Pelodiscus sinensis: one gene and its partners. The protein of the gene in region 3 purifies or fractionates together with the protein of the main gene of each other region. This does not show direct contact. Links are inferred from orthologs where the notes say so. Each region holds a gene or a part of one and is shown on either strand. Other genes may lie near its edges.

The links.
Region 1: the proteins of HECTD1 (region 3) and ras GTPase-activating-like protein IQGAP1 purify together in Homo sapiens (affinity purification with mass spectrometry; 3 studies listed by BioGRID, with this or other methods). This does not show direct contact. The link is inferred for Pelodiscus sinensis from reciprocal best matches to the Homo sapiens genes HECTD1 and IQGAP1.
Region 2: the proteins of HECTD1 (region 3) and SMC4 purify together in Homo sapiens (affinity purification with western blotting; 3 studies listed by BioGRID, with this or other methods). This does not show direct contact. The link is inferred for Pelodiscus sinensis from reciprocal best matches to the Homo sapiens genes HECTD1 and SMC4.

What each region holds. Positions count from the first base shown.
Region 1 is NW_027465934.1:150,242-157,679, reverse strand, and holds the start of ras GTPase-activating-like protein IQGAP1, read right to left. Parts: upstream 3,079-7,438; 5' UTR 3,074-3,078; intron 1-3,073. UniProt on the Homo sapiens protein: Plays a crucial role in regulating the dynamics and assembly of the actin cytoskeleton.
Region 2 is NC_134720.1:32,814,970-32,822,715, reverse strand, and holds the start of SMC4 (structural maintenance of chromosomes protein 4), read right to left. Parts: upstream 3,079-7,746; 5' UTR 2,929-3,078; intron 2,867-2,928; exon of another isoform or gene 2,446-2,866; intron 884-2,445; exon of another isoform or gene 849-883; 5' UTR 783-848; coding exon 653-782; intron 1-652. UniProt on the Homo sapiens protein: Central component of the condensin complex, a complex required for conversion of interphase chromatin into mitotic-like condense chromosomes.
Region 3 is NC_134714.1:51,020,411-51,027,441, reverse strand, and holds the start of HECTD1 (E3 ubiquitin-protein ligase HECTD1), read right to left. Parts: upstream 3,034-7,031; 5' UTR 2,846-3,033; intron 1-2,845. UniProt on the Homo sapiens protein: E3 ubiquitin-protein ligase which accepts ubiquitin from an E2 ubiquitin-conjugating enzyme in the form of a thioester and then directly transfers the ubiquitin to targeted substrates.

The DNA of each region.
Region 1 (7,438 bases), on a different chromosome or scaffold from region 3:
GTGTTCTCCTCCCTCCTGGCGGTCGCTTGGATATAGGCACAGTCTGCAACACCGGCGCATCGGGCTGCCTCAGCAGGGTTCTGGGGTTTGCCACCAGGTCTCCTCCGGGCGGGCCGTGTTCTCCTCCCTCCTGGCGGTTGCTTGGATATAGGCACAGTCTGCAACACGGGCGCATCGGGCTGCCTCAGCAGGGTTCTGGGGTTTGCCACCAGGTCTCCTCGGGGCGGGCCGTGTTCTCCTCCCTCCTGGCGGTCGCTTGGATATAGGCACAGTCTGCAACACGGGCGCATCGGGCTGCCTCAGCAGGGTTCTGGGGTTTGCCACCAGGTCTCCTCGGGGCGGGCCGTGTTCTCCTCCCTCCTGGCGGTCGCTTGGATATAGGCACAGTCTGCAACACGGGCGCATCGGGCTGCCTCAGCAGGGTTCTGGGGTTTGCCACCAGGTCTCCTCCGGGCGGGCCGTGTTCTCCTCCCTCCTGGCGGTCGCTTGGATATAGGCACAGTCTGCAACACGGGCGCATCGGGCTGCCTCAGCAGGGTTCTGGGGTTTGCCACCAGGTCTCCTCGGGGCGGGCCGTGTCCTCCCTCCTGGCGGTCGCTTGGATATAGGCACAGTCTGCAACACGGGCGCATCGGGCTGCCTCAGCAGGGTTCTGGGGTTTGCCACCAGGTCTCCTCCGGGCGGGCCGTGTTCTCCTCCCTCCTGGCGGTCGCTTGGATATAGGCACAGTCTGCAACACGGGCGCATCGGGCTGCCTCAGCAGGGTTCTGGGGTTTGCCACCAGGTCTCCTCCGGGCGGGCTGTGTTCTCCTCCCTCCTGGCGGTCGCTTGGATATAGGCACAGTCTGCAACACGGGCGCATCGGGCTGCCTCAGCAGGGTTCTGGGGTTTGCCACCAGGTCTCCTCGGGGCGGGCCGTGTTCTCCTCCCTCCTGGCGGTCGCTTGGATATAGGCACAGTCTGCAACACGGGCGCATCGGGCTGCCTCAGCAGGGTTCTGGGGTTTGCCACCAGGTCTCCTCCGGGCGGGCCGTGTTCTCCTCTCTCCTGGCGGTCGCTTGGATATAGGCACAGTCTGCAACACGGGCGCATCGGGCTGCCTCAGCAGGGTTCTGGGGTTTGCCACCAGGTCTCCTCCGGGCGGGCCGTGTTCTCCTCTCTCCTGGCGGTCGCTTGGATATAGGCACAGTCTGCAACACGGGCGCATCGGGCTGCCTCAGCAGGGTTCTGGGGTTTGCCACCAGGTCTCCTCCGGGCGGGCCGTGTTCTCCTCTCTCCTGGCGGTCGCTTGGATATAGGCACAGTCTGCAACACGGGCGCATCGGGCTGCCTCAGCAGGGTTCTGGGGTTTGCCACCAGGTCTCCTCGGGGCGGGCCGTGTTCTCCTCCCTCCTGGCGGTCGCTTGGATATAGGCACAGTCTGCAACACGGGCGCATCGGGCTGCCTCAGCAGGGTTCTGGGGTTTGCCACCAGGTCTCCTCCGGGCGGGCCGTGTTCTCCTCCCTCCTGGCGGTCGCTTGGATATAGGCACAGTCTGCAACACGGGCGCATCGGGCTGCCTCAGCAGGGTTCTGGGGTTTGCCACCAGGTCTCCTCCGGGCGGGCCGTGTTCTCCTCCCTCCTGGCGGTCGCTTGGATATAGGCACAGTCTGCAACACGGGCGCATCGGGCTGCCTCAGCAGGGTTCTGGGGTTTGCCACCAGGTCTCCTCCGGGCGGGCCGTGTTCTCCTCTCTCCTGGCGGTCGCTTGGATATAGGCACAGTCTGCAACACCGGCGCATCGGGCTGCCTCAGCAGGGTTCTGGGGTTTGCCACCAGGTCTCCTCCGGGCGGGCCGTGTTCTCCTCCCTCCTAGCGGTCGCTTGGATATAGGCACAGTCTGCAACACGGGCGCATCGGGCTGCCTCAGCAGGGTTCTGGGGTTTGCCACTCAGCTGGAACGGGGCAGGAATCAAGTTTTCGTCTGCAAGTCTGGTGTCCTAGAGTCTCGATTTTAAGGGTCACTGCAGGTTGGTTCCCGGTGGTTTCTGCTTCCACCACGGAGGAGCTGGCAGGAAGGTGGCACTTCCGGCCCTTGGCCGGCACGGGGGGGTTGCCACTGTGCTTCAGGGACCACAGCCAGCCGGTGCCGTGGGGCAGAGCTCTCCACTGCCTGTCACTGGCCCCCTGCTGACCTCCTGCAGGGCTGCTGCAATGGCTTCGCCTGGGAACGACGCCGAGGAGGCCCAGTGCCTCCATTGGTCCCGGGGCTCGCTCCTTGCTTTGCGGGGCCGGAGGCGTCTGCTCCGCCGAGGGACCCTTGCGGGGCGGAGAGAAGCAGAAGGTCTCTCCAGGCCCCAGCCGCCAAGCAGGCAACGCGGGAGGGGCGGTGAACACGGTGCCCGCCAGCCATGGTAGGCCCCACTGGAAAGGGCTAGTCTGGCGCAGTCTGAGCGCCCTAGGCGGCTGCAACGCCGGTGTATGAGCAGCAGTTACAGCATCGAGGTCTGTGTAGGCACGTCAGGGTCAGCTCTAGGCTCGTGTCCTGGAGGCTGACACCGGGGACCAGGCTCCTCCTGGAACCGCTGTGGCCGGTGATCCACGCCACGCACTGTGCGAGCAGGCGCGGTGCCCGTGTGCGCCCGTACGGACGGTTGCTCAGATGGGCCCGTGGACTTAGGAGATCCTGGTCAGGGTGAGTGGCGCGTGCCGTGGGACTCTGCCCAGCGGAGGGGGGTAGCGGGGCTCGCTTACCCCGATCTGACTCCTGGCGGCTGCGTGCCAGAGCGGGGTGCCCACTCCTCCCTTGACTGAGTCCATTGCCACTGGGACAGGGATTCAAGGGGGGCTGGCACCGGCAGCCAATGTGTCTTGTGCCACTAGCAGACCCTCTGGCGTGGCTAAGGGTCCCGCTCCTGTCCGGCTGCTCCACTCTACGAGCTGGACCTGTGAACCAGAGGGGGCCGAGAGCTGCCTGATGTGGGTCCACGTGGGGCTCGCCCACAGACTTAATCCTGTTGCTTAGGGGGCTGCAGCAAAGGGACCCGCACCATCCTCTTCGGGTGTAGGCAGACAGCTCCAAAGGAGCACAGTGGTCTGAGGCGTCGGTGCTTGGCGCCATGTCGGGTGAGTGCACCGGCGCCGGAGTCAGGGCTGGCTCCAGCAGGAGGGCACGGAGCCAAATGTTCCACTCCTGAAGCTGTTGCTGATGAGAGCTCTGCCCAGGCAGCACGAACAACTCCCGTGTAGGGCACTGACTGGCACAGGTATCTGCGGGGGTCACAAGATTTGAATGCCGAGACTGGGGCATGCCCCGACCCAGGCAAAGTCCCAAAGGGGGCCAGAACCCCCCCCCCCGTTGCCTAGCCGTGTCCTACAAGAGCAGGGATCCAGCTACACAAAACAAGGAAGAGTCAAAATGAAGGCGGCTACAGTGGGTAGTGGAGCAAAGCAGTCGCGTGCCCCATCACGGGCTCATCCCCAGTGAGGAGGGGGAGCACGCGGCAGCCCGGCTATCACACCACAGAGGTGCCACTCCATGGGCCGCCAGGGGACAGTCTGCACAGGGCAGCACGCACCCCACTGGGGAATGCACATGAGCAAGCGCTGGAGCCCTTGGAGGACAACTCCCATCTGGATGCATCATCTCCGGCTGGTTCTCCCCACGACTCACTGGAGGACAGCTTGGACCCTCTTTGAGAGGCAGGTGTTTTCACCTTCCGCAGCTCATTCTACCACTTGCTTTGACCACGCTAACGGGACACACCCTGCTGCAAACGTTTCTAGCTTCTTTTTTATCTCTGATTCTTTAGAGAGAACTCACGCAGCTGGCTCAAGAAATTGAGAGAGAAGAAACTGAAGGCAATACAGACGTTATCCATCTCCGGAGTCCATAGGAAGCTCTGTTCCATCTATGGCAATATCTCATTGAGTTAAAAAGTAAGTTTTTAGCCAAGATTTGGACACTTTGGACTGCAATCCTCTGGTTTTAGCTGCGAATGTCTTTTCTTCTTGGCTCCGCGTACAATGTTCTAACTGAAGTGGTTTTAAGATCGGTAGGTCCCTCTTCGCAACCCAAAGTGAATACTGAATTACTGGGGTTTTTAATTCCCTTGGCTTTTGAGACGCACCTCTCCCGTGTTTAGCTACAAACATGCCCTAGACCCTCCACACAGACCACCACAACGGCCGGGCTGTCGGAGGCCAAGGCTTGGGTCCTTGGGTGAGCTCTAGCAGACACAGGAAGGAGACCAGCGAGGTCTCCAGCAGGGGCTCTGTCAGAGCCGCCTGGTTTGTCCAACCCCCTCTTCCCTCGAAGTGATCCTGCCTCTTCTTATAGTCTTTGTTGCTAGGAGACCAAGGCTAATTCTAGTCACATCTGCACAGCAACAGCCATTTCCTCATCCCTTGCTGGTGGCAAGGGCCCCTTGCGGGAAACCAGATTATTTCTGCAAGCTCCCCTCCGCCAATATCGCCACACACGGGCGCTTTCTTCGCACCGTGAGCAGCCCCTTCTGCCCCCGGCTCGGCAAGGAAAAGCCAGTCCATGCACACCCCCGGCTCGGCAATGAAAAGCCAGTCCATGCACACCCCCGGCTCGGCAATGAAAAGCCAGTCCATGCACACCCCCGGCTCGGCAAGGAAAAGCCAGTCCATGCACGCCCCCGGCTCGGCAAGGAAAAGCCAGTCCATGCACACCCCCGGCTCGGCAAGGAAAAGCCAGTCCATGCACGCCCCCGGCTCGGCAAGGAAAAGCCAGTCCATGCACACCCCCGGCTCGGCAAGGAAAAGCCAGTCCATGCACACCCCCGGCTCGGCAAGGAAAAGCCAGTCCATGCACTCCCCCGGCTCGGCAAGGAAAAGCCAGTCCATGCACACCCCCGGCTCGGCAATGAAAAGCCAGTCCATGCACACCCCCGGCTCGGCAAGGAAAAGCCAGTCCATGCACACCCCCGGCTCGGCAAGGAAAAGCCAGTCCATGCACACCCCCGGCTCGGCAAGGAAAAGCCAGTCCATGCACACCCCCGGCTCGGCAATGAAAAGCCAGTCCATGCACACCCCCGGCTCGGCAATGAAAAGCCAGTCCATGCACACCCCCGGCTCGGCAAGGAAAAGCCAGTCCATGCACTCCCCCGGCTCGGCAATGAAAAGCCAGTCCATGCACACCCCCGGCTCGGCAATGAAAAGCCAGTCCATGCACACCCCCGGCTCGGCAAGGAAAAGCCAGTCCATGCACACCCCCGGCTCGGCAAGGAAAAGCCAGTCCATGCACACCCCCGGCTCGGCAAGGAAAAGCCAGTCCATGCACACCCCCGGCTCGGCAAGGAAAAGCCAGTCCATGCACACCCCCGGCTCGGCAAGGAAAAGCCAGTCCATGCACACCCCCGGCTCGGCAAGGAAAAGCCAGTCCATGCACACCCCCGGCTCGGCAAGGAAAAGCCAGTCCATGCACACCCCCGGCTCGGCAAGGAAAAGCCAGTCCATGCACACCCCCGGCTCGGCAAGGAAAAGCCAGTCCATGCACACCCCCGGCTCGGCAAGCTGCATGCGCCAGCAGGGGGCAGTCTGCGCAGGGCCTCCGGGCTGGCCAGCATCGGCAGGGCACTCTCCTGCACACCCCTGGATCTCCCCTCCCCACTCTCAAGCAGCCAGAGGCTCTACCCCCCAGCATGCCTGGCGGGGAGCAGTCCCGCCAAATAGCTCGGATGCGGAAATTCCATGCGGACTCCGGCAGGTGGGGACCAGCTCCCACACATGGAGCTGGCGCCATGCAGACAAGATGCTCTGCAGCCCTGCATGAACCTGGCCTCTCTGGAAAGCAGAGCTCCTCCCTCTCCCAAGCAGACGCCAGTCACCTTGGGCGACAGCTGGCGCACGAGCACCCACGCCCTGCAATCTGGGCCAGAGAGGTTCGGTCAGCTGTGTCCATGGGCCCTTGCTTCTACCCTGCATGGGGGCGAGTCGGTCACTGCTGCAGCTCCTTTGCAATGGGAGAGTTCTCCCGGAGAGGGTGGTGGAGCACCCCAGGGAGCCATCTGAAAGCGCTGCTCTTACTGTGGGCAATCATTTTTGGAGGGGGCCATTCCAACATTTTGGAAAGTGGTCAAGGGCCGCACTTTTCTGAGAGGATGCGGGGTCTAGGATACAGGATGGGTACAGAAGGGCGCACGGGGTAAGGGACTGGGGTGCAGGAGATGGTGTGGGGTCTGAGGTGGAGTTTGGCTGAAGAGGGGGTGGAGACTCGGGGCAGGGGTTTGGGTGTAGGGTCAGGGAGGGTGTAGGAGGGGGTACAGGGTCTGGGAGGGAGTTGTGACCTGGGGCAGGGGGATGCAGAGGGTTTGGACGGTGACCTGGGGGAGGAAGTTGGGATGCAGGAGGGGCAGGGTGCCAGAGGCAGGCTCTGGCTGGGAGACAGGCACCTAAGCATCTTCCAGCCAGCAGCCCTGCAGCACCCCTGAGGCAGGCTGGGCTCCCTGCTGGCTGCAGTCCCAGACCTCTTGAAAATACAGGCTGTTCCCTCCATGTGGCGCTCAGCTTGCGCTGCTCCTGTCCCCCAAACAAATCTCTCAGCTCCTAGTGGCTGGTTGTTTCCAGCCACCAGGAGCGGAGGATAGGGGTGGTGTGTGTGTGGGGGGGGGATCACATGGAGCAGCCCTGCACTTAAATCAGCAGCTGCTGCAGGCCTGGGGGTCCTGGCAGGTGTCCATGGGCCGGATGCAGTGGCGTGGTGGGCTGGATGTGGCCGGGACCGAGAACTTGCCCACCCGGATACAAGGTTAGCAACCTCTCCTCCCAGTAGAGTCTCTGGGCAGATCCCTGAGCAGCACGGAGGGTGGTGCTGAGGAGGTGGATTCAGTCCAGGTCATAAGACACGGGCACCGAAAGCTGCAAGAGCAGAATGCCAGGGGCTGTCCGAGCGGACACAGGGGAAGCGAGCCCTGTCGGAGTGAACCATGACTCTCAAAGGGGAGCAAAGCCCTTCGCCTGCTGCAGGTGCACCCTGAAGCCCAGGTGGGTGTCTGCGTGGAAGTCGCCTCACCTCAGGACTAGGCCCTCTGGGGCTACTCTGTCTCCTTGCTCTCCGCGTCCGAAGGCTTGTTTCTTCTCTTGAGAAGTGAGGCCGGGGACAGTCTCCACTGGGGGACCAGACGGATGTGGAATTCGGAGGCTACCTTAGGAAGGGAGAGAGGGTCTGGACACGGCGTCAGGTCAGCCGTCACGACTCCCAGCCCCTGCCCTCTGGCTGTAAGGAACGGAAGAGGCTCAAATGTGGACTCCTCCATGCACTCAGGACACGAGTCAGGCCCCTGGAGAAGCTGGCTCTTAACTGGGGGGAGAGGTTGGAGATGGCTGGGTGGGTGGAGACCGAAAGTCCCTTGGGGGGGACTCAGCCTGAGGAGGTCATTGCGAAGGCCCGCTGGGAAAGCACTGCCCCCTCGGCAGGGAAACGTTTCTCTT
Region 2 (7,746 bases), on a different chromosome or scaffold from region 3:
CTTGAAAGGCAGGAAGTTTGTTACGAAAACAAACTGGCCCCTTGGTTTTCAATTATAGTTTTAAGTAAAACCATTTTTCAACTGTTAAAAGCAACTTTTTCTTTAAGTAGACAACTATTGACATCACTTTCCACATATTAACCATTTATCAAACATGTTACTAAAATAACATCACATACATGGCTACCTGAAAGGTTTTTTTTATTTCCAGCAGAAAATCAACTAACAAATTTTATGTAGGGTATAATTGCTTAAAAGTCATTATTTGAAGAATGTAAAGTAGTTGCCACATACTCTAACCCCAGATAAATCCCACAATATGGGATTTCATGTAGCTAAAATAATCCTGCTATCACAATTGTAAGACAATGTAGTAAGAATATGAAATCTAGGCTTAGTTGGAAGAAACATCGCTACAACAGCATTTTTACCTAAACTAAAGCACCAATGCAAACTCCTTAACTCTTTCAAAACCATATTTGCAGTTTTAAAATCAAATTTAAATTAAATTTGTCAAAATAAAATTACAATATCCCTTCCTAGAAAGAAGCTGAATCTGAACTGCAGCAGCCCTAAGTTCAGCAAGCTCCTATCAAGACACATCATCACTAGATTTATATGCAGGGTACATCAGAATCATATCAACACTTACCTTGCTGAGATGCTTCACTGAGGCTTGTGTCAGCTTCTTTTCCCACTTCCATATCACTGGTGGGTTCCTCCAAGGGTTCTTTCCCTTTTTGACGGGCTGCAGTGGAGGTTTTGGTGCTCTTGCTTGGCATGCTTTCTGCTGGCCGTTCCCCTCCGATTCCAAGCAATCAAACTACCCAAGGGATATGTCTCCTTTGCTAACACAAACAAGAAAAACCCCATGACCCAAGTGCTGGGCGTATCACCCGTTAAGGGCTATGACTGTGCATGTGTCTCCAAATGACTACTAAGAAGCTAAAATCCAAATGAATTTCAAAAATACTCAGGATTTCAAACAAAAACTAAAAAACAGCTTAGTTACCATTATTTTAAAGTTCCTTTAAAAGTTAGCTTTATCGCCCTGACTTATTTAAGTAAGGACATCCATCTACTGATATCCACATTCTGATGTGGCAACATGAAAACATAACATATAAATTCAAATAAAGAAAAATTATGACAGGTGTTATTTCAGAAATAAACACTGAATGAACAGGCCACGCAGATATATATACTTGAAGTACATATTTTATAGTATACACATCCCTCCTAAAGATTTTCTACCAAGAATTTTCAGTAACCCTATCTAATAATATTGAAATACTATTTCCAATGTATAGACAGTCTCTAGTCCAAAGGACATACTGAAATGTTTGTCTGCTAGAAATGCAGCTAAATGCTCACACTTAAAAGCAGCACACCAAATGAAAAGCAAATTAAATATCAAACAGATTTGATGTTAATGCTTGATCAAGAAAAACAACAGTAAAAAAGTCCATCACAGAACATATTGGCAGGTGCCACCCCCCGCCCCCAAGAATAAAAGGTAGTTCAGGAGAAAGATGAAAACCAAGAAACCTGAAGTAGTAAAATATTCTCCCCCAAAGTCTAAATTACTCTATCACAGCAAGTGGTGGATTTAGCTTGGAAAAAAGCAGGCAAGAAAGTTTATGACATGGTTGGAAAGTCATCTTATAATGGGTGACAATCATTTGACATTTTCAGTCCATCCCCCACCCCGAGTCTTTCATTTGGGATGGAGAAAGGGGATCCCATGAAGAAGTGTAAAGATAGAAGATGAATTCATTTTAAGGCAATTTGAGTATATGCTACCTCCATTTTTTATAATAAATTCTACAGATGTTTTTACACTTATTGAAATTGAATAGCATAAACATACAAAAATATTGAAAATAGATTGAGAGTAATTTACAACATAACTGTAATAATCTTTTAAATCTGAGTTCCCCAGCATCTTAATCTGGATCATCTTGCCAAACATGAATAACTAACTAGTTACTCCCTGATAATCTAATAAGTATTTATGCTCAAACCCAAAGCCCTGACATTTAAAAAAAATAAAAAATGTGTTTCTTAAAAGCAACACTTAATGACCTGCAATTAAGTGTAAGTCTCACTTCGACAGGGAATTTTAAAGACGACTCCCCATTTGGAAGAGATTCAATTTCAGGGCAATAACTGATGTCAGCGAGAAGAGACTGTGCTGTACATCTCCCTGAGAATTGTTTTGAAATCAACCAGTCATCCTAAGCTCCCCACAGCCCCTTGTTCTGAATCTATAGGAGTTTCCCCAGAGTATAGTTGAAAATAAAATTATAAACAAGTCCTTAGTCTAAAGACAGTTTAAAAACCAGGCCTCTGAAGTTCTCAAGAAACTATATCACAAACTTGTTACTGTGCCCCTTCCAGTGACTGGTATCTGATGAATAGGTCCCCATAGGTACATAAGGATACAACGGGGAATCCACTCTGTTCCATAGATTGCAGTGAACCCCCCCCATGATTTGCTAGATATAATCCTGGTGGAGAGGTCGCCGCCCGGGGGCCAGAATCACATCTCTTCTATACGGTGAGGAGTCCTCGGGCAGGGCAAATTACAATGGGGTGGTACGACAGTCGCCCCACCCCGCGGGGCTGCAGGTTACAGAAGTGGGAAAAGGAGCCGCCGTCTTTCGCTCTCCCGAAGGGGTGGGGGGGAATGGAAAAGAAACGGAGGGGGAAATTAAGACCACCGCCCCTGCTCCCGCCAAGGCAGCTTACGTAGGAAATCTACAGCTTTCCCCCTGGCAGGCTCCATAGGGAGGTTCCCCAGCTCCAGTTACAGGGAAGCGAGCCCCCCAGCTCCACCTGTCCCCAAATTATTAGGTACTTTGCTGGAAGCGCTGCTGGTCGAGCCGCCCCAAGCCTCGCAGTCCTGTCAGCGGGCAGAGCTAGTACCTGGGACGCGGAGCAGGCGGCCAGCTACCCCGCCAAGATTTCGGATGACGCTGGCTCTGGAGAGTGCGGCTCTTGCCTGCTGCAGCTTGGCGGCTTCTACACTCGAAAATGGCGCCCAAACGCTAAACTCGAACCGAAATTCGTTAGAAACGCGCGAAGCATGCTGGGTACAGAGGGGGACGGCCCTCGGCCTCCCACAGGTTTGAAAGGAGGAAAAAAGTCCTCCGGCGCCATATTGTTTTCCGTTATTGCGCGGAGCAGGGTACTAATAGAATAAAACCATTTACATTGTTTTGGTATTTTTTTTAATTTAAAGCAAACTAAAAGACCGTTATTGAAAGGTGCCTAAACGGGGAAAAATCCTACAAATTTAAATCAGACGATGGATTAACGGGAGGAGCTCGGTTGCTTAGTAACTGCCTGAGGCGATAGCGGACGAAATTTAACAAGATTTAAAAAAACTAACAAAGAACATTTAATATTTTTAAAAGATATTAACAGACGGGTGCGGTGACGTCAGCGACTTGTCACCTGGTTTGGGAGGGTCCGTTAGGTGGAGGGGGGAAGTACGGAAGTCTCGCGCGGGGATACGCGCAGGAATGTCGCGGGAAGTCGCTATAGAGACAGCGCAGCTTCTCTGCGGGAGTGGCTAGCAGCGCGGAGAGGAGTGAGACTAGTAAGTGGTCTCGTTGAGTTCCCTCATTCCCTCCCCCCCGCGTCAGGAGTTCTTGGTCAGCCTGAACTGGGGAGGAGGAAGTTTGTCAAATCCGTGAGGGGCTGGGAGCTGCCTACGGCTGGGAGTGACTACTAGCCGGAGCACCAGCGACAGGATCCTGCTCTGGAGAGGGTTCTCCACGCCCTCCGCTCTCCCAACCGGATTTAGACCCCTTAGACGGACCAGCTTCATTGGACAGGTAAATTGATAAGAGGGGGAAGCCCTTCCAGCTCTCCCTTTAACTGGGCTGGGAGTGACTATTAGCCGGAGCACCAGCGACACAGGAACAATCTTTATAGTGGGGCTGCTGAAAGCTATTGAAACAAACTAAATTCCGTATAAAACGAAAGCTACTTCAAGGAGATATAGCATTACCCTTAATTCCAGCATTTATACCCTGTCCTGGGAAAGTGGAAGGAGAAGCCCTCTAACCTTGTAATGCAACGGACTGGAGAGGCAGCCCATAACTTCTATGGGGAAACTGGGAGGGAGGAGCCTCGCCAAGAAAGAGCTAAGGGAACAGTTTATCCTAGTTTGTGTTACGCGATCCCCCACAGCCTGCCTTGAAGGAAGGGAACGGTAGAATTGCTGATCTCTCTCCCGTGGTGTCAAACCAGTTCTAAAGCAGTGGCTAATGTAGTCTGTTCTTACTACATTTAAAAGGCAGAACCACAACGGGGTAGGTGCAGAACCTGGTGCAAGCCAGGACTCAGCAGTTCCGGCTCACTCCAGGTCCCTGACTTTTGCCTCTTCCCGCCCCCTCCCACTTACTGTGGAGACAGTGCTGGGGGAGGAAACTGGCTTTTAAGGACCTGAAAAAGGCTGGGTAAATCTAGTGTAATGTGGAACATGGAATATGTTGAAGAGTGGGATTAAGCTATGTAAGGGGGTTTATGTGGGTTATTATAGGTACAGGACTCTGCCTGGGGCATAATGAAATGAAGTTGTGCAGGAGGCCGGACTGTGGGGGAAAGCATGTAAAACACTGAGCTCTGTAGTGGGGCCAACGGTGGATAAAATATTGCTGGTATCTCTCTGAACAATTGTTGCTATTAATAAGTTTCTTTTTAATAACAAAAACATTGTTAGAGTTTAGGATAGGGATGTTAAAGGTTAAATGATTACAGTTAACTGGTGGGGGTTGCCCCAGCCCATCTGGAGCAGCCCCACCCATGCTCATTTAATTGGTTAACTGGTTAAACATAAATGGGGTTTTACATCCTTAGTTCAGGATACTCAAATGAAAAATCTTACAAATACCAAAAAAAGGACTAGTTAAAGCAACATTCTTTCATAATTATTAATGTCTATTAGGGTAATGTTAACTTGTGGGTAATCAGCTAGTCAAGTAGTCAGTGGAAATTCCATTGACTAGTCAATAAGGAGAAAAACTGCAGAGCCGTACTGCGGCTTTGCCTTTTAAATGTATTAAAAGCTGCTGGGCTCTTAATACATTTAAAAAGCAGAGGTGCAGCAAGGGGGACTAGGAGCAAGCTGGGAATCAGCTCTGCCTCTGCCTCTGCCTCCTGTGCTCTTCCTCCCCTTCTTCTTTCACCTTCCCCACCCCTGATGCCTCTCTAATAGAAGCAGCAAGGGTGCGGGGAAGTGACCATATGCTTATCAGGTAGTCAACTAGTCGCTTACATCCACAATGTCTATTGTCCTATAATTCAAATGCAATCACAGACATACCATTTGCATAACACAAACTTCCTTGCTTGATTATTTAGAGAGAAAATTAAATATGGCAGTCTTAAAAAAATTAGGGTTTGATAAAATACATTGTGAATGTATGGTGACTTTTTGTGTATTTAGAGATCTATCACATATTTAGACCTAAAATACCAGGCTGCACAAAGATGAGACGGTTTAAGGAGCCAATTCGGAGAGGCACCTTCTACTGAGTCCTCTCCGCTCCAAGTACCTAATGGGATTAGGATTTAAATTAGTTTGTCATGATATTGCAAAATCTCACTAGACAGAATCCTTTGTCACTAAGGGGAGAGGGTATAAAACTATTCTATTCATTAATTGGAGGCTTCAAATCATGCTCACATTCTAAATTTTGACCCTGGCTATATTAAGACTTGGTCTCTGTAGACAGAAAAGTGTTATTTGGACATTAAAAAAGCCTACAGTAGGTAATTTTTAGATTTTATGATTATAAAGAATACCACCTGAATGAAAAATAATCTGAATTAATGAAGTGCTAACTTCCTGCTTCTGCAAATGGGCCACCTAAAACAGCAGTATACAGATATGAACTAGCACATTCATTTACGTATCAGCGGGAAGCTAAAGGAAAGATCAGGCTAACACAACTACCTCTCTATTACTTTCAACATGGAGGGGAAGCTGCATTCGTATGTGACTGCAAAAACAGTGATACGTTCTATGGCGTCTTAAAGATTAACACAGTGGTCCCCAATCTTTTGGGACTGCCGCGCGCCCGGGGTGGGGGCCGCCCATGCGCCGCGCACCTGGAGGTGCAAGAATGGCTTGGGCAGGCCCTGGTCACTCGACAGGCGCACATAAATGCCCTGGTGGGCGCCATGGCGCCTGCGGGCACCGCATTGGGGACCAGTGAACACATTTCTTCATGCATAAGCTTTTGTGGCCAAATAAATCTGTTAGACTTTAAATTGCCACTGGGCTCCTTGCTGTCTCTTCATCTAAGTGGTGAGACACCCTAATGCTGTCAGGCACTATTATTAACTGTTTCTATGATGATCTTTTTATCAGACACCTTCAGATAGTGTTGCTGATGAGAAGAGAATTCAAGCCCATTCCTCCCCTTCCATTAAAATCCTCTTCATCCTTGCTTTACAGTGTTAGAGGAAAGAAAAGATACATCCTCCTTCTCTGAGCCAAAAGCCTCAAGCCTTTAAGATATCTTTTATTGTTCATTGTACTTAACGTTTGCTTGTGTCTGGGTTAAATTCAAAGTTGTAGTGACTAACAGTGGTATCTAAATACTATACACTGCCCTCTGAAAGTTTTTGGTGGTCTCAATCAACATGCCCTTTAATTTTTTTCCCATCCACATGTGATTTTTTTTTTTCCAGCCTGGTACAGAATAATTGTATGTGCATCGAGGCATGTACACAACCAGTAGAAACAAAAGCCAGCTGTGAGCACTCTTGCTAACCAGCTAGGTAACATTTGAATTTCTCCTGAGCAGTCACACAAACACATAGGGAACACTGGTCTCAGTCCAGTTCCTAATGAATAAATGTGCATAGTACCATTTGTGGGTTTTATGATAACTAACATCTTTTTTAAAAAGAAAAGGTGGGTGAGAACATCTTTTATTGGACCAACTTATGTCAGTGAGAGAGACAAGCTTTGGAGTTTGTGCCATACTCAAACAAATGTCTACTGAGCTTGTGCAACAGTTTTGAGGTTCATAACTTGATCAGACTTGGGTAAATTTTCATGAGGGTGGCAAATGTCACATCCCTGACACCAAGGAAATACCTTATCCACCCAAATGTCAAATCCTTGCCTGAAAGCATAGAGGTAATAGAGCTTCTAGACAAAACATTTGTAGTATTATTTTAAACGTGGACAAAATAACATTTATCTCATAGTTTCATTCTTGGAAATGGCTAAATGGTTCTAATTAAAACTTTATTTAAAAAAAAAATCTGAGGCAGATACCTAGGATGGAAAATTTTAGTCCCTTAGTGTCCAATCAGTTCTGAAACAGTAGCCGCTATAGTGGCTATAGCTATAGCGAACTAGCTACACTCAACCGGCCAAATAGCCACATGTGGCTAGTGACTAGAGTGTTGGACACCATGGCTTTAGTCGGTATAGTTAAAGTTTGGCAAGTTGTAAGCAACTGAAAACAAGATCTTAGTGGGAAGCTTTCAGGAAGTATTAGCAGCAATTATCCTTACCCTGTATTGACAAGGCATGATATCTTTATACTCTGGTTTCTCTCTCTGATTTTTCTTGCATTTAGGTGGTTTGTGATTCCAGACCATTCATAAAGATGATTCTGCAAGCCTAATGTCAGAGTATTCTCTAAGGTTGCACAATTTCAACATAAATTATTACAGTTAAGCAGTTCTAGTATCACTTGTTCTTTAAATGGCTTA
Region 3 (7,031 bases):
TAATGTTTAGTACTTCTATAGCCCTTGTTTCAAAGTGTTGTGCAATCATGAACTAATATTCTTCACAACACTACTCTGAAGAACTACTCTTTATATAGCATACAGTAGCATTTAAGGTAGAAAGACACAGTGCTGCCCCAAAACTTTCCACTCTAAGGCTGAAAATTATCATAGGAAAATAATATTCCTGTATAAATTCTTCAGTGCACACTAAATAGTTATTCAATTATTTCTTTTAATTCTAAACATAAAGCAAAATACTACACATTTAGAGTTAAAGACTAAAAATCTCTATATTCATGCACAATTAGCCTTCACAATAGTTTTCTTCTTTGTGGGATCACATGAAGGTCTGGTAAGGAAATCAGTCACATGAGGCTCAATAATATAAATATTGTAAGAAAAGATTATAGCAGGTTTGAGTATCACTGTTGTCTATATTATAGACATTTCCTGTAATCAGAAGAATGGGGTGTATACAGAGGGCATAAAGCCAATGGGAGTCATGCTGTGTCACACAGAACTTGTCACATGCTGATGTCTCTGTGTCACTCATTAAGAAACACCATCTCTAGAATTATTCTTATTCCCAGACAGTCTTGCTTGAAAGTAAAATGAAAAACTGGATTTTATCTCTGTTTTTGAACAACAAATCCCTCTGGCCCAGAGTTAGGAACCTAAGTCCCTTTGATGGATCAGGCTTAGACTCCGCCACTCTCCTCTTCATTTCCTATTGGCTAGGTTAATCCCCTCCCCAATCCATTTGCTGACTTGTGTGAGTCCCGCTCTTAGGTGCCTAACTCTCTCCATGCTTTGTATCAGGAGTTTGGCTGCCCAAATCAACATGAGGCTTCCATTGCACAGCAGGGCACGAAGCTTGCCATTGCAAATGTGAGCCTCAATCCATTTTGTGGCTCTAACCCTGCATTCCTAAAATACTAAAACCAAATCCATGTACTCCTGATTATGTTCATTAACTCATCTGATATCTCATAATTTGATTTGCTTGTATTTATTTTAATGTATTAAAGTATAGTGCCAAGAGACTTAGTACTACTTCAGACACCAACCAAACTTTTCATTCTCAAGTCTTTAATACGTCAGAGAATATTCAGTTTTTATGTTTTGTATTTCTAAACATGTGACTCTTATTCCTTAGAATACAATAAAAAAAAACTAAGGAGTGGTTCTTACACAAACTTAATCCAGTTGAGACTCCCATAGTTAGAGCCCTGCAAATCTGCAGATATCTGCTCTATATTCTCAACTCATTTTTGTGGATATGGATGCAGATAGATAACATTTTGTGGCTAGAACCCTGAAAATTTGCGATATTCACTTTATATCCGCAGATATGTACATTTTAGGACATCAGTGGGGATATCCATAGCTCATTTTTGTGGATGTGGATGCAAATCTTGTATCCACTCAGGGCTCTACGCATAGCTTATCTCTCTTTTAAAGTATCATGATAAGTCTGTCACACTTTTATTTGTGTGCCTTGGTCAGCAACTGACAATTAAAATATTTTCATTAGTCTTCAGAGTAAACACCCAATTGAAATGAAATGCGACAGCTGACAGCAGTCTCAGCTATTGTTTCAAGCTGTCTCCAGATATCACAAAAAGTTAAATGTGCTCCATCTTCAAAACTGATTGCTTTTTAATATAGAAAATGAGATAAAATTGGCTAGAGTGCAAAACTAGTTCAAGGTGATTGTAAAAACATTTTATTTGCTTCAATCATTTTTGCATACTTATTTATTTAAGTGAAGTTTCCTGGGCGTAAAACTCTGTTCATATGAATATTTACTCAGTAAATTTCAAGCCCTTTATTTAATCATTAAACTAATTTAAGGCAGAATTATAAAGATTTGTTTATCCAGACACAGATCAGAAATAATACGTCACTGGGTAACAAGTCACATAGCTTGAATATCAAAAGGCTTGTAGGAACAATCATAGTGAACAGTTTGTAAATGTTTGAATCCACAGGCTGAAATTTGCTTGCAAAAAATAGTCAAACAGTTATGAAATATGAGCAAGTTTATAAATGTTCCTTTATGTTCATGACCAGAAAATAAAGTGTATATTATCTGAATAAAGGTTCAATACAAATTGTTTACCCAGCTCTAGTTGGAAAATGGACTGGGAACTATACCTAAATTCTAATCCCAGTGCTGATGCATACTTCCTTTTGACCTTGTCAAGTGACTAAACCCTTGTGTACCTCAGTTTCCTCACCTATGAAATAATAATGGAGTAGTAATAACCACCTCAGAAGGCTGTTACCAGGCTAAATGTTTGTGAAACATTATTTGTTACTCAGACAGTGTTCCATAAGTACAAAATATTCTATCTGAAAATAAACGTCTAGCAAGAAGTGGGGTCAAACAATGGGAGGTCATAGAAACACATATTTTCCTTGTACAACTGAAAAAACAATTTAACAAATTTATTTTTGCCTTTTATTATCAAGGCCATTTTCTGTACAAAGTTTCAGATTAGTAACATTTTAGACTGAAGACAAAATTCCTTGATCATAGGAAGTTACCTTGCCAAAATTGAAAGTAAAGAGAGAGAGAGCCACAAGGATAATTTATCTACTTTTTGTTAACATCACCCTGACACACAGCATTAAGACAAATTTAGTCATTAGCTCTTTTAGCAAAAACAACTCCCCTATTTAAATTTTAAATTGACCTAGAAACATATAAAATGTGTTTTCTTTAACTTCCTTGCCCGGCTCTGTACACGTGGGAAATAGACGTTTCTAAATATATCAAACTATTTTGCACTAAATAGATCAGAGCAATAACAGGGGCCTGACAAGGTCAGATACTTACTGGTTTTGCCAGCTAATTAAGTTTTGCTGTACAAATACTCGTTATTTAGTCTTCTTTGCCTTTGAAGTGTTTTCTAAAGCCATATTTTCATCCAGAAAATAAATGTTTTCTTTTTTCCATAAATAAAACCCTGTCTGGTGAAGCTCTGTATTTAGAATGCCATGTGAACGTCTTGGCTTTCCTGAAGTAAGTGTTAATGTTTGCAATGTTTCTGGCAACTACAGAGCAACTATACGTCAGATCTAAAACACAGTGTGTTTACCATGATCTGTCTTGTGCAATTTTGTTGTAACAATAACTGTGTGAAAGGTTGCTTGTGACGTTGCTCAAACACTCTGATTACTCATGTTGACATGATGTGTGTCTGAGTGATATAGTATAGCTGGTGTAATGAAAGTGCTTGTCTGTTTTTATTTTTTTAAAGTGAAACCCCTCTTTCAGTGGGTTTCATGTCAGAAAAATTTGGGAAGGATGGAGATAGAAGAAGGGAGTTTTGTCAGCATGTAGAATATTATATATAATTTTATTATTCCTACAAATTAAGGACAGCTGGAGGGTAGGAGGCGGGAGTTGAAAAAAATAACAGAGTATATAGACCTATGAAAAACAGGTTGAGAACTCAACTGCCCCCACAACCCACAGCCGATGTTCCTCAGAAAACGATTTCTACTGAGTAGAAGACTCCTATTCCCCAAATTCTGTGATAGAGGTATTAGAGCAAAAAGTGTTTACAGCCTCTGTAAAACAAAGTATATCATAGAATTTTTGTAAAGATAGTTAACACACATGCACGCACACACACACGTGGATGTTTACACACACACACACACACACACACACAAAATAATATATTTTTTTCAAGACTAAATACATTTCTGCACTTTGGAACATGGCTAAAAATGAGTTTATAATCTCAATTTGCTTGGCCAGGCACCCACAATAAATTAAACACTCATTCATAGGACTTTATGGTCAACAACAAAAAAGAGGTGGGGGTAGAAATGGAGAATAGAAAAGAGGAGTTTTGAACAGAGTGTTATTTGTTATAAAAGATTAAAAAAAACCCTTTTTTATTCTGTTTACTGGGCTGACAGTGTTAGTTCTCACTGAGTAAAGTTCCTCACAATAGCTATAGTGTAGTTCAGCCCAAACCATAAATTGCACATCATGTTTTCATTGTTTTTTGGAAGCCTCCTACAGTCTTATGTTTTACACAGCAGTATCATGCTTCATGACTAAGTCCTGTCTGTATTACAAGACAAAGTTGTGTTCTAATTATGTCAGGAGACTGTCTCAGCAGCATTCTCAGAACCTTTGTTTTCTTTGTTTAAAAGCCTTCTACAGTTTTTTGTTTTTGTTAAAAACATGTAACTCAAACATCTGTCTCTAACTCCACCTACACTTCTCATTTTGATATGTTGGTATGGCATCATCTTATAACCATGATCAGTAGTCATCTTTTTATTATACTGTAACAAATATTTATTTTTATACTATTATCTTTAAAGTCCACTATCTTAAAAGAAGAATGTTAAGAACTTGATCCTGCTAAGAGCCCTGCACCTGTACAGAACCCCATTGAAACCTCTGGAGCTCTGCATACATTTAGAAGTCATCCTGTACAAATCAGTGGGTAGGAAAAGGGTCAAAGGGATAAAATCAAGCATTCAAAAGTTGGGAAATGCAAGAATAACCTTAATTCTTGCAGTCTCACTCCTGCTCACTTACTGATACAGGCTTTATGTACCTGATCATCTGTCTGATGGACCTAACCCCCAGGTAATAGGTTACATCTGAATTCCCTCCAGTACAAGGATTGCTAGTAATCTAAATCCAAGGAAGATTATAGAAGGAGATTTACATCCCAGACTTTAGAATTTCTACCCAATTTTTTAATTATATAAATTGAGTAGAGACCACTCTGAACCATAAAGTCATTCAAGAAATGAGTTATTTTTTATTTATATTTTGCTCCTTTCACTCATGACTGGAATCCAATGAAGAACAGTGGCTCCCAGTCTCATGACTAAATCCAAGCAATGAATAAATCTTGGTGGCATGTGAAAGGGTTAGACTGTTAAAGAAGAAAGACAACACCTCCATCAGTTAATAGTTGTTTCATATTATAGGATTAAGCCTCCCCCCAGTCTATTCAAGCTTTTATTGGAGATGCAGCTTCTGTTGCCCCAAAAACTGCTAGTTCCAAATGCTTTTTCAGTGATGCAACTATGCCCTCTTCACCAGTTTTGAAGATCACGCTACAGAAAAAAGAATAATCGATTTCAGGCCCTTGAAGCTTGAATGACTGATGCAGTCACTAAACACTAGAAGCTAAATGCTACTCTCATTCGTTTTTGAGAGAAATCAGTGGAAAGGTACAATTGTAACAGAGCAGAACTATGTTGTGGCACTTAAGGGGGGGAAAGAAATAAAAAACTAGTTTGAAACTAGGTGCCGTTCAAAGGACAGGAAAATTTGGATACCATACTCATGACTGCTGGGAAAACCTGAGAAACTGATGTAGTTCAAGAACAGTTCATTCATATACAAAACATATCTGTGAACTGGTGCCAAACTCCTTCTCTCTCTCCGTTTATATTTATGCACTTTTCATTACTTGAGTAGAATTTGTTGAAAAATAGAAAAATATTTAAAAAATATCAAAATATATATGATGGTCTGAACAGTTAGAGTAACATATAGTATGTGACAAACCCACTGCATGCACTAATCCCCATATATTAATGAGAATTTATAGCAGACTTACCCAGAATTGCCTGGGTCCTTCAGGGCAGGGACCTGGTCATGTGGGGGATGCAGGACTCAGAGCAGGGCCTAGTGCATCAGGAGGGAGCACAGGAGGTTGGTGATGAGGGAAGTGCAAGAGTGAGGGCTTGGAGGTAAGGCGGGTCTCAAAGCCTGAGGACCCATCTGGGACAGACCTTTGCTCTCCCCCTGGCCACCAGGGATGTTTTTTTCTTCCAGCTGCCACAGTCACCAGAGCCTTCTGTCTTCCACCTCTGCCAGCCACCCGGGGCCTTCTATCTCCTCCCAACCCCTCTGACCAGCATGGACTTTGGCCAAGAGCCAGGAGGAGGAAATGGTTTGGGATGAGGGGGGCTACTTACCCAATCTGGTGGCAGGCAAGATGGCAGAGCTCCTGTCTGATGGCTACTTTCTTGGTGGTACAGCTGTGCAAGTGTCCACTGTGCAGTATAGTTCTCCCCCATGCTTACTGCCCCTGATGGCCACTTTCAGTATTCTCTTCTCTGTGCCCCTCCCTTTCCATGTCATGGAAAAGAGTCCTATTCCTGACACTTTCTGGATACAACCAAATCCTAACTTTTCTTTAAATTAGGATAGGTGGAAGCTGCATACCAAATTTGGTGATCCTAGTTCCTACAGTTTAGGAGCAGTTCTTGAACGAACAGACACATAAATGGACAGACACACACGGATGCACATTTCTAAAATATATAGATAACTGACCATGTAGAAGGGCATGTCTACACTACCACCCTAGTTCGAACTAGAATGGTAATGTAGGCAACCGGAGTTGCAAATGAAGCCCGGGATTTGAATTTCCCGGGCTTCATTTGCATATTGCTGGGCGCCGCCATTTTTAAATGTCCACTAGTGTGGACTACGTGCCACGCGGCTACACGCAGCACGGACTAGGTAGTTCAGACTAGGCTTCCTAGTTTCACGAGTAACGGTGGTTCAGAATAGGAAGCCTAGTCCGAACTACCTAGTCCGTGCCGTGTGTAGCTGCGCGGCACGGAGTCCGCCCTAGCGGACATTTAAAAATGGCGGCGCCCAGCAAGATGCAAATGAAGCCCGGGAAATTCAAATCCCGGGATTCATTTGCAACTCCGGTTGCCTACATTACCACCCTAGTTCGAACTAGGATGGTAGTGTAGACATACCCGAAGAGTTTTTAGAAAATTTTGATTTTCAAGGGTCAGTTTTGAAGAACCAAATCCAAATGAGTGGCACCAAATATGAATGGTGCTACTGTGCATGTAATACCCGATATTATGCTTTTTCTGGAAATAACTGGTGAGTGCCTACAAAAATAGAGATTCATGGATACAGTGGGTGTGTTGCATGTTGCATAACTAGCCTCTTGCAAACATGACAATTTGAATTTCAGGTCTTCTAAGAAAAGGACTAGTGCTAATCAACT